2 linked regions of the Macaca mulatta genome follow. The protein of the gene in region 1 purifies or fractionates together with the protein of each later gene. This does not show direct contact. Links are inferred from orthologs where the notes say so. Each region holds a gene or a part of one and is shown in the gene's direction. Other genes may lie near its edges.

Evidence for each region.
Region 2: the proteins of PLEKHO1 (region 1) and CAPZB purify together in Homo sapiens (co-immunoprecipitation; 3 studies listed by BioGRID and IntAct, counting the BioPlex papers as one, with this or other methods). This does not show direct contact. The link is inferred for Macaca mulatta from reciprocal best matches to the Homo sapiens genes PLEKHO1 and CAPZB.

Annotation. Positions count from the first base shown.
Region 1 is NC_133406.1:116,993,027-116,997,321, reverse strand, and holds the start of PLEKHO1 (pleckstrin homology domain-containing family O member 1), read left to right. Parts: upstream 1-1,308; 5' UTR 1,309-1,340; coding exon 1,341-1,370; intron 1,371-1,659; exon of another isoform or gene 1,660-2,015; coding exon 2,016-2,162; intron 2,163-4,295. UniProt on the Homo sapiens protein: Plays a role in the regulation of the actin cytoskeleton through its interactions with actin capping protein (CP).
Region 2 is NC_133406.1:221,614,696-221,618,500, forward strand, and holds part of CAPZB (F-actin-capping protein subunit beta), read left to right. Parts: intron 1-3,272; coding exon 3,273-3,414; intron 3,415-3,805. UniProt on the Homo sapiens protein: F-actin-capping proteins bind in a Ca(2+)-independent manner to the fast growing ends of actin filaments (barbed end) thereby blocking the exchange of subunits at these ends.

The DNA of each region.
Region 1 (4,295 bases):
AATACCTAAGAGTGGGGTTTCTCACTCCCCTTTTCCATCACACATATATATACTGAAAAGACATGAAGTTACTAAGATGTGTCCTGGAAGCTCTGAGGCAGATCTGCTGTAGGAGGGATCAGCAGAGGCTTCCCTAGTCAGGGCATTCTCTGGGCGTTCAGCCCTTCCCTCCATTGGGCTCCAGCGCTGTAGAGAGGATGGGATTTTTACCTATTAGTGCAGCGGGAAAAGATACCCAGGTGGCAGGAAGTTTAAGCCTCACCTGGAACTTACATTGAAAGCCACTTGGTATAAAGGATCATGGTTTGGAGACAATTCTATTCCTGCCAGCTTTGACACTGTGTCTGCAAATCCCTCAGCTATTCTGAGTCTCCGTTTTCTCCCTGTGAGATGGAGATCATAAAATCCGCCTCATCCTTAGGATTATTCTCCTGAGGCTACAATAAGGCCTGAGGCTTTGTACACTGGAAGAAACGTGTATTAATAGAAACTTCTGTCCCACCCCATCCCCCAACACGTCGATCCCCTCCGGAGCATAAAACTTTTCCCAGCATCTGACCTGCCCAGGCCACCCTAGCACCTAGGAGCGTGAATTCCTGATGAGAGTTCTGGGTGGCGCGCCCTCCGGGCTCCCGCTCTCGTTTTTGTTTTTGGTCAAGAAAGGCGATGCTCTAGAGGCTGGCGATCTCCGGTCTTCACGAATCCGCACGTCTCTCCATTATCACCGCGCCCGCCCACTGGGCCCCGGGGCGGCCGGCGGCCGGGTCTCTTGGGCTCCGCGTGTCGCCCGAGCCGCCGCGGAGCGAGGGTCCCTGCCCCCTGGGAAGCGGTCTCCGGCCGCTTGGAGGCCGCCTTCTTCCCCCTCCGTGAGTCAGAAACAAAGGCGGGGGGGCGGGGGGAGCGCCCGAGCTGCGGCTCCGCGATTCGCCCTTTATTCTGAACTCGCAACGTCAGCGGCCCGCGGATGGAGCTGCGGGGCGCGGGCTGGGCCGCCCACAGCGCACCGGGCCGGGGGAGCGGCCGCGCTGGGCCGGGCCGGCGGCTGGCGGGGGCGCGCTCGGGGACCCGGGCCGCGTGGGCGCCGGGATGGAGGGCGCCGAGGGGCGGGGAGCGGGCGTGCGTGTGTGTGCGAGTGCGAACGCGAGGGAGGCCGGCCTTGAGTGAAACCGGAGCTACAAAGAAGGGGAGAGTCCGGGAGCGGGAGGGCGCGAGGGAGGAGCAGCGGCGGCGCCGGGGCAGCTCCGACGCCCTCCCGCGGGGAAGGAGCCCCCGCGGAGCCGCCGAGGCCCCGACGCGGGGCCGCCCCTCGGCCCGCAGCCCCGCGCTCGCGCCCGCTGGGAATGATGAAGAAGAACAATTCCGCCAAGCGGGTGAGTGCGCCCGCCCGCCCTGCGGCCGCCGCCGCCTCCACGCTCCGACGACCCCGGCCCCGTCGGCGCCGCGGCAGCCTGAGAGACACCCGCCCCGGCCGCTCCCCCGCCCCGGCGGCCAGGTCCCCTTGGCCTCGGCCCCGGGCCGGGGCTCTGGGCCCCGCGAGGCGCCGGCGGGGGCTTTTGTTTGTTTACTCGCCTCAGGGGGATTCAACTTGGCTGAGTTTCCCCCCGACCCGCGCCTCCCCCGCCCCTGGACGCCGGGCGGGCGTTTGCCTTGCGCTCCGCCGTGGCGAGGAGACAATGGGAGAGAAAACCAAAGAAACGCCGTTAGTCCCCGCGCGGCGAGCACGGGGCGGCGGGGACGCAGGGCCTGGAGGGAGCCCGGGAGCCCCTCCGCGCCCGGCCCGCGCCCCTGCCACTCGCAGCCCCGGTTGTTTATTCGGGAGCAGGGGAGGGGAACGGGGGGAGTTCCTTGGAGTGAAAACCTTTCCGAAGTGGGAGCGAACCTGGGGCGCCCCCCCCCACCCCCGGCCGCAGCCTTCGGAGGAGACGGGGCCGCTGAGGCGGTCGTGAGAGACGGATGGAGAGGAAGCCGCGGCTGGAATCTCCTAACCGCCCGCTTCTCATCTTGTCCTGGGGCAGGGGCCTCAGGATGGAAACCAGCAGCCTGCACCGCCCGAGAAGGTCGGCTGGGTCCGGAAATTCTGCGGGAAAGGGATTTTCAGGGAGATTTGGAAAAACCGCTATGTGGTGCTGAAAGGGGACCAGCTCTACATCTCTGAGAAGGAGGTGGGTGCTTCTTGCCTCTAACTCTGCGTTTTCTCATACCCCCCACTTTGTCACTCCACAAGGGCTCGCCTAGCTTACTCCACCCTCGTTTTGTTCCAAAGGCAAGTTCAGTGGTCTCCTGACTCTCTACCCCCATCGCATCTGCAGAGAAAGGTCACCCTTTAGTGAGAAGACCCGAGTGAGAATTAGAAGTTGAGCTGGCCGCTTACTCAGTGTTTTTTTGTTTGCAAATACCTTTCTAACAACAATGATAAGCCCCTCCCAAGACGCCCCAGAAGTCCTGAGTGTCCCTTGCTGCCTCCCACCCTAACCGGCCTCCTGAATATAGGATTTATTTTCTTTGTTATTTCTGCTGAAACAGTTTAGCCTATTCGCCACCCCTTTCTGTCCCCCGACCCTACCCCAGCCAGCCTCCCCTTTCCTGTCTGTGGCAGGAGCGTGCACAGGTCCTGTCCGTGGCGCATCCGCCCTGAATCACAGAAAATACACACGCACCCCGCTGTCTGGCCCCTGTGACCTCGGGTCTGTGAGTGGCAGTTATTTTCGTTGAAGGCAGTGTCCCTAACCAGTATGCTCTCTGTTCCCCACCCCCACCCCATTTTAAAAAGGCAAGGAACCCATTTTCTACCCACTTCCTGCCCACCCCCCCCCATTTGTATCAGAAGGGAGAAGAATGGAGTTAAGAACCCCTGTATGTCTTTGGATACCTTTGGCTGTGTATTTAACCATGAAAACCAGTCTACACTGTGTCAAAACCTGAGCTATGATAATTGAATCCAGACCCATCTCCCTTTTTTCCCTAAGTCTTGGGGTCAATAACGTGTACTCATGTTGAGAAATCAGAATTGCCCCTCCAGTGGTTAGAAGTCACTCCATTCCCTGCCTCTGTGACTGTCGGTATAGCCTGGGAGACTGTCCTGTGTACCAGTTAGAGTGGCTCTTCCTCTCGCCCTCACAGGAGGGATTCTGTGTTCCCTCACCCAGAGCTAACTGGGAAGTCCTCCCTGAGTTCTAACCTCTTCTACTTTCTGCAGTAGACACCCTTATTCAGTAGATTATATTTAGGTAAATAAAACCTTTTATGGTATTGAAACAGATACACACACACCCTGAGACAAAGTACTCATCTAGAAGAACATCTACTGAGGCATCTAGGGAAGAACTAAGCTGTGCCACAGCCAAAGAGATCCCTCTTAAGGGTATTGAAACCTAACTGTTTACACAAAGCTAGGAAGTTGGTGATGGAAAGTCTTAGGAGTGAGGTGAAGGCACTTTTCTTGGTCTGTCACCCAGGCTGGAATGCAGTGGTTCGATCACAGCTCACTGCAACCTCCACCTCCAGGGCTCAAGTGATCCTCCCATCTCATCCTCCGAGTAGCTGGGACTACAGGTGGGTGCCACCATGTCTGGCTAGTTTTTGTATTTTTTGTAGAGACAGTGTTTCGCATTGTTGACCAGGCTGCTCTCAAACTCCTGGCCTCAAGTGGTCCACCAGCCTCAGCCTTCCAAAGTACTGGGATTACAGATGTGAGCCACCATGCCCGGCCAGGAGGATTTATTTTTAAGAGTTACGGCTGCCCAATCACAAATCCTCCAGAAAGTTTTCTCCACAACTTTCCGGCTTTCTAATTTAAAAAAAAAAAAAAAAAAAAAAAGCAAGTGTCAAAGTGTATCTCCTGTCTTCCCCGAACTTCTTAATTGCAGGAAACTCTAGTTACCAATCAGGGAGAACTTCCTACAAGTCAGGGAAAACGTAATAGTGAAAGGGTAAGAGGAATAAAACATCCATTGCTTGTTTGTATTTGCCCAAAGAGCAGAGTCTGGGGGCAAAAGTATAGTTGATCCTTGCTTGTGAGGAAGAGGTACAGAGACAGGGGAAAGGATGGAATGACCTCAGCCTAGGATGTCTGGTGTCCTATGAGTCAGGACCATCTGACTGGTCACGGAGCCAGCTGTCTCCTGCTGGGAAGGGCACAGGAAAGAGGGACTAGACATATTGATACTATGCTTTTTTAGAGCCAGTTTCCATGCTACAGTGGGCCTGGTTAAAAGTGAAATTGACAGAGGACTCTGGGCTTTATTCTGCCCACTTGCAAAAAGCTCTAGGGCCAATAGAGTCAAGACAGGGTGTTT
Region 2 (3,805 bases), about 100 Mb from region 1:
AGAATAGTAACCCCGCAAGGAGGTCACAATTGAGCTTGCATTTTTACCTCCCCTGGCTCCAGCATTTGAAACTTTAGATCTGGTCACTGTGGCCTGCCAAGGAGAAGCTGCCTGTAGTGGGAGCCAGGCCACAGGGTGGGACGTTGGAGTGGAAACGGCCAGTTCCACCCTATAAAACTTTAATGCGGTTGTTTTATTTTTCTGGAAGAAATGGAACGCTCAGGGATGGGACTGAGGGGAAGCAGCCGTGGGCCACCTGGTGCTTTTGAACTGGTCGCCGGAGGGTGTCGACAGTGTCAGGCCATCGGGATTTCTCCTGGTTCCCCTCCAGGGCAGCCTGACCTGCCTCTCCCCAGTGTCCCAGCACACAGAGGAGAGCAAGCCTTGGGCGGGCACAGCACCGCAGCTCTGTGTGGATCTGTGAAGGAGCGGAAGGATGAAATGCCCCTGGGCTGCAAGCCTTCTTTCCAGAATGGCCAAAGGAAAGAAGGAATTATTGGCCCATCCTTTTTGCCAGCAAAGTAGGGTTTTTTTGTTTGTTTTTCTTCCCCCTCTTTTGATGTGGGGCTGCTCTCCCTATAAGCTGGCTGAAAGAGAAAACCGTGTGCTAGAACCAAGCCATCTGTCGCCAACAGGAAGGGTATTAGCAGGTCTGTTCTGAGTTGCTCTTCTCTCGGTAGTGTTCGTGTGCCTCGTAAGTTAACCTGCAAGAATCCAGGAGAATAAGCCAGAAAGGCTCACGGAGCCCATGCTGCCAGTCATCTGAGCCCTGCTAAACCTCAGGTCTAGCAGGGGCAGTCAGTCCCTCTCCAGGTGTTCCGGGAACATTCCAGAATGGCCTGATCTCTCCAACTCTGTATGGGGCCGGTCCAGACCAGGAGGGCCCTATGGAGGCAGATGGGGCCTTGGGCCCTGGACCAAAACACTCATCTGCTTAGCTCGCCTTGCCCCAAGAAGGGAGAGTTTGGAGACAGACTGGAATAAAGGAAATGATCTTCTGGAGTGGGGTCTCTGAGTGCCAGTATTGGCCGGTGTCCTGGACATCACCTCTGCCAGCAGTGAGCGCTGAGCCCCACAGGTGTGTCTGTTCATCCAGTGGTCCTTTTCCTCTAGAAGGAAAGGATGCCTGTGCTACACCTTGCCAGAGCCAGGCCCTTCCCCACCCTGTGCAGTTTGACCAGTGATGAGCTCAGCATCTGGCACCTGACACATCCATCCCACAGGTGTTCCCTGAGTGGCACTTGTGTTAGCCAGGCAGCCCTGCCCTCATATGCCCTCCTGCAGACTCGCCTGTGGGCGCACCATGGTGTATTCGGTTTGATAGCTTAATCACAGTGGTTAGTGCCACAGAGGGCACGGGACAGAATGTGGTCCTGCCGCAGGGGCTGGCTGCAGCCTGCCTGAGGGAGCCCTCGGGGCGGGGCCAAGGGTAGCCCACCTGAGTATCAGCCCTCCTGGATGCTCCACAGGTCTGAGGGTTGGAGTGAGGGCAGACCAGCCAGGGCACCCTCATTCTCCTGGGAGGATGCTTTGCTTCCTTGGTCTGATGGTCTCTTAGTTACATTACACTCTGGTGTATTCGCGTACTGATTTTTCACAAAAGCTTTTTAGTCTGGAACAGTATGACTTACTGTCAAATTGCAAAAAAAAAAAAAAAAAAAAAATACAGAGAATTCTTGTATACCCATCACCCACATTCTGTAAATATTCACATTTACCGTCTGTATTTTTTATTATAGAATAGCTTTGGTGAGACATAATCTACAGATACATGTTAATTTCTAGTACTTAATTTTACATTAACCGTTTGGTAGGTGTCTACTTTTCCTAATTGTTTGTCTCTCAACAGCCATAGAAAGTAGATTAAGTCCCTAAAGTCCATGTTCACGCCACTGGTCCCTTAGTAAACAGTTGGACGCATGCATGCGTGAGCATAGCTCATAGCTGGGGCTGGGCGTGCTAGAGCTGTCATTGGGTCCGTCTGACTCCCAAGCCTGGGCCCACCTTCCCAGCTGTCTGGGGCTGAGGGCGGTGTGCTCCCAGAATACGCCTGTCGCACCAGGGCTTTGGGGCTTAATAGGGGTCAGAGAGGCCCCAGACTTCCTGATAAAGATGTGCTCACCATGAGAGATGCGATTGCTTACAGTTTCACTGGTTATCAGCAGAGATGAGATTTCTCTTTTTGGGGCTTAATTGGGGTCGGAGAGGCTACAGATTTCGCCACAAGAAATGAGATTTCGCTGGTTATCACCAGCATTTGCAGTTCCCATCAGCTGACTCCACCCCTCACCTCTGCTCACGGCAGCCCCAGCGAGCCACAGTAGTTGACCTGGGTCTGTTGGGTTTGGGATCCCAGACTGATTCCCATTTCTCATCTAACCTTTTCATTCCCTCTGCCATTTGATCGTAATTAGAAATCCCTCTTCCATTTGATCATAATTAGAAATGTTTCTGGGCCAGATGCAGTGGATCACTTGAGGTCAGGAGATCGAGACCAGCCTGGCCAACATGGCGAAACCCCATCTCTACTAAAAATACAGAAATTAGCCGGGCGCAGTGGTGCACACCTGTAATCCCAGCTACTCAGGAGGCTGAGGCAGGAGAATCGTTTGAACCTGGGAGGTGGAGGTTGCAGTGAGCCGAGATGGTGCCACTGCACTCTGGCCTGGGAGACAGTAAGACTTCATCTCAAAAAAAAAAAAAAAGAGAGAGAGATGTTTTTGTATGGACTCGGATTTGAGGAGGAAGCACTGTCTCAAGCTGAGCCCTTCATTTCCGGCTAGCGCTTTGTAGGAAGTTGCTCCGAAAGACCAGCTGGAGCCCTGGTCAGGAGGGATCAGCGTGTAGGGAGTTTGTTGCTGTATTTTCTCATCTGCCTTGTAACCCAAAAGACAGAAATATCGAACAACCGTGGTCACTCCAGTAGTCATAGCCTGCATGGATTGTCACTGGATGTCACTCGTGCTGCGTTCTTTATCTGGGAGGAATGTGACGCCTAGAGAGGTCCAGTAAACCAAAGACCACAAAGCTAAGGGAGGTGGCAGAGCCCAAACTCAAGTTCATCTTTATGATGCCTAAACCTACTACACCCCCAAAAATGCTGCACCCTCTCCCCGAGCCAGAGAACAATCAGAACACACCCAAGGATCGGCTCCTATAACTGTTGCAGGGAGGACCCTAAATCCCAGAATCTTTGCTGAGCAACAGCCTGGGACCCAGGCTGATTATCTGTCCTTTAGCATCTAACAGGCACATTGGCCTGTTTCCTGCAGGTATTTTGAAGGCGGCGTCTCATCTGTCTACCTCTGGGATCTGGATCATGGCTTTGCTGGAGTGATCCTCATAAAGAAGGCTGGAGATGGATCAAAGAAGATCAAAGGCTGCTGGGATTCCATCCACGTGGTAGAAGTGCAGGTACCGCCTCCCAGCAGCTGGTGGCCGGGGCCACTAAGTACAGAATCACACCAAACAGTGCCGCGCTGCTCTCTAGCAGATGCAGTGAGGGGGATGCTATGATCTCTGAACCCCTCATTCTGAGAAATGCCTCCAAGCCATTTGGATAAAGATAAGTCAAGATTGCAGTAGTCGCCAGGCGCGGTAGCTCAAGCCTGTAATCCCAGCACTTTGGGAGGCTGAGACGGGTGGATCACGAGGTCAGGAGATCGAGACCATCCTGGCTAACACAGTGAAACCCCGTCTCTACTAAAAAATACAAAAAACTAGCTGGACGAGGTGGCGGGCGCCTGTAGTCCCAGCTACTCGGGAGGCTGAGGCAGGAGAATGGCGTGAACCCGGGAGGCGGAGC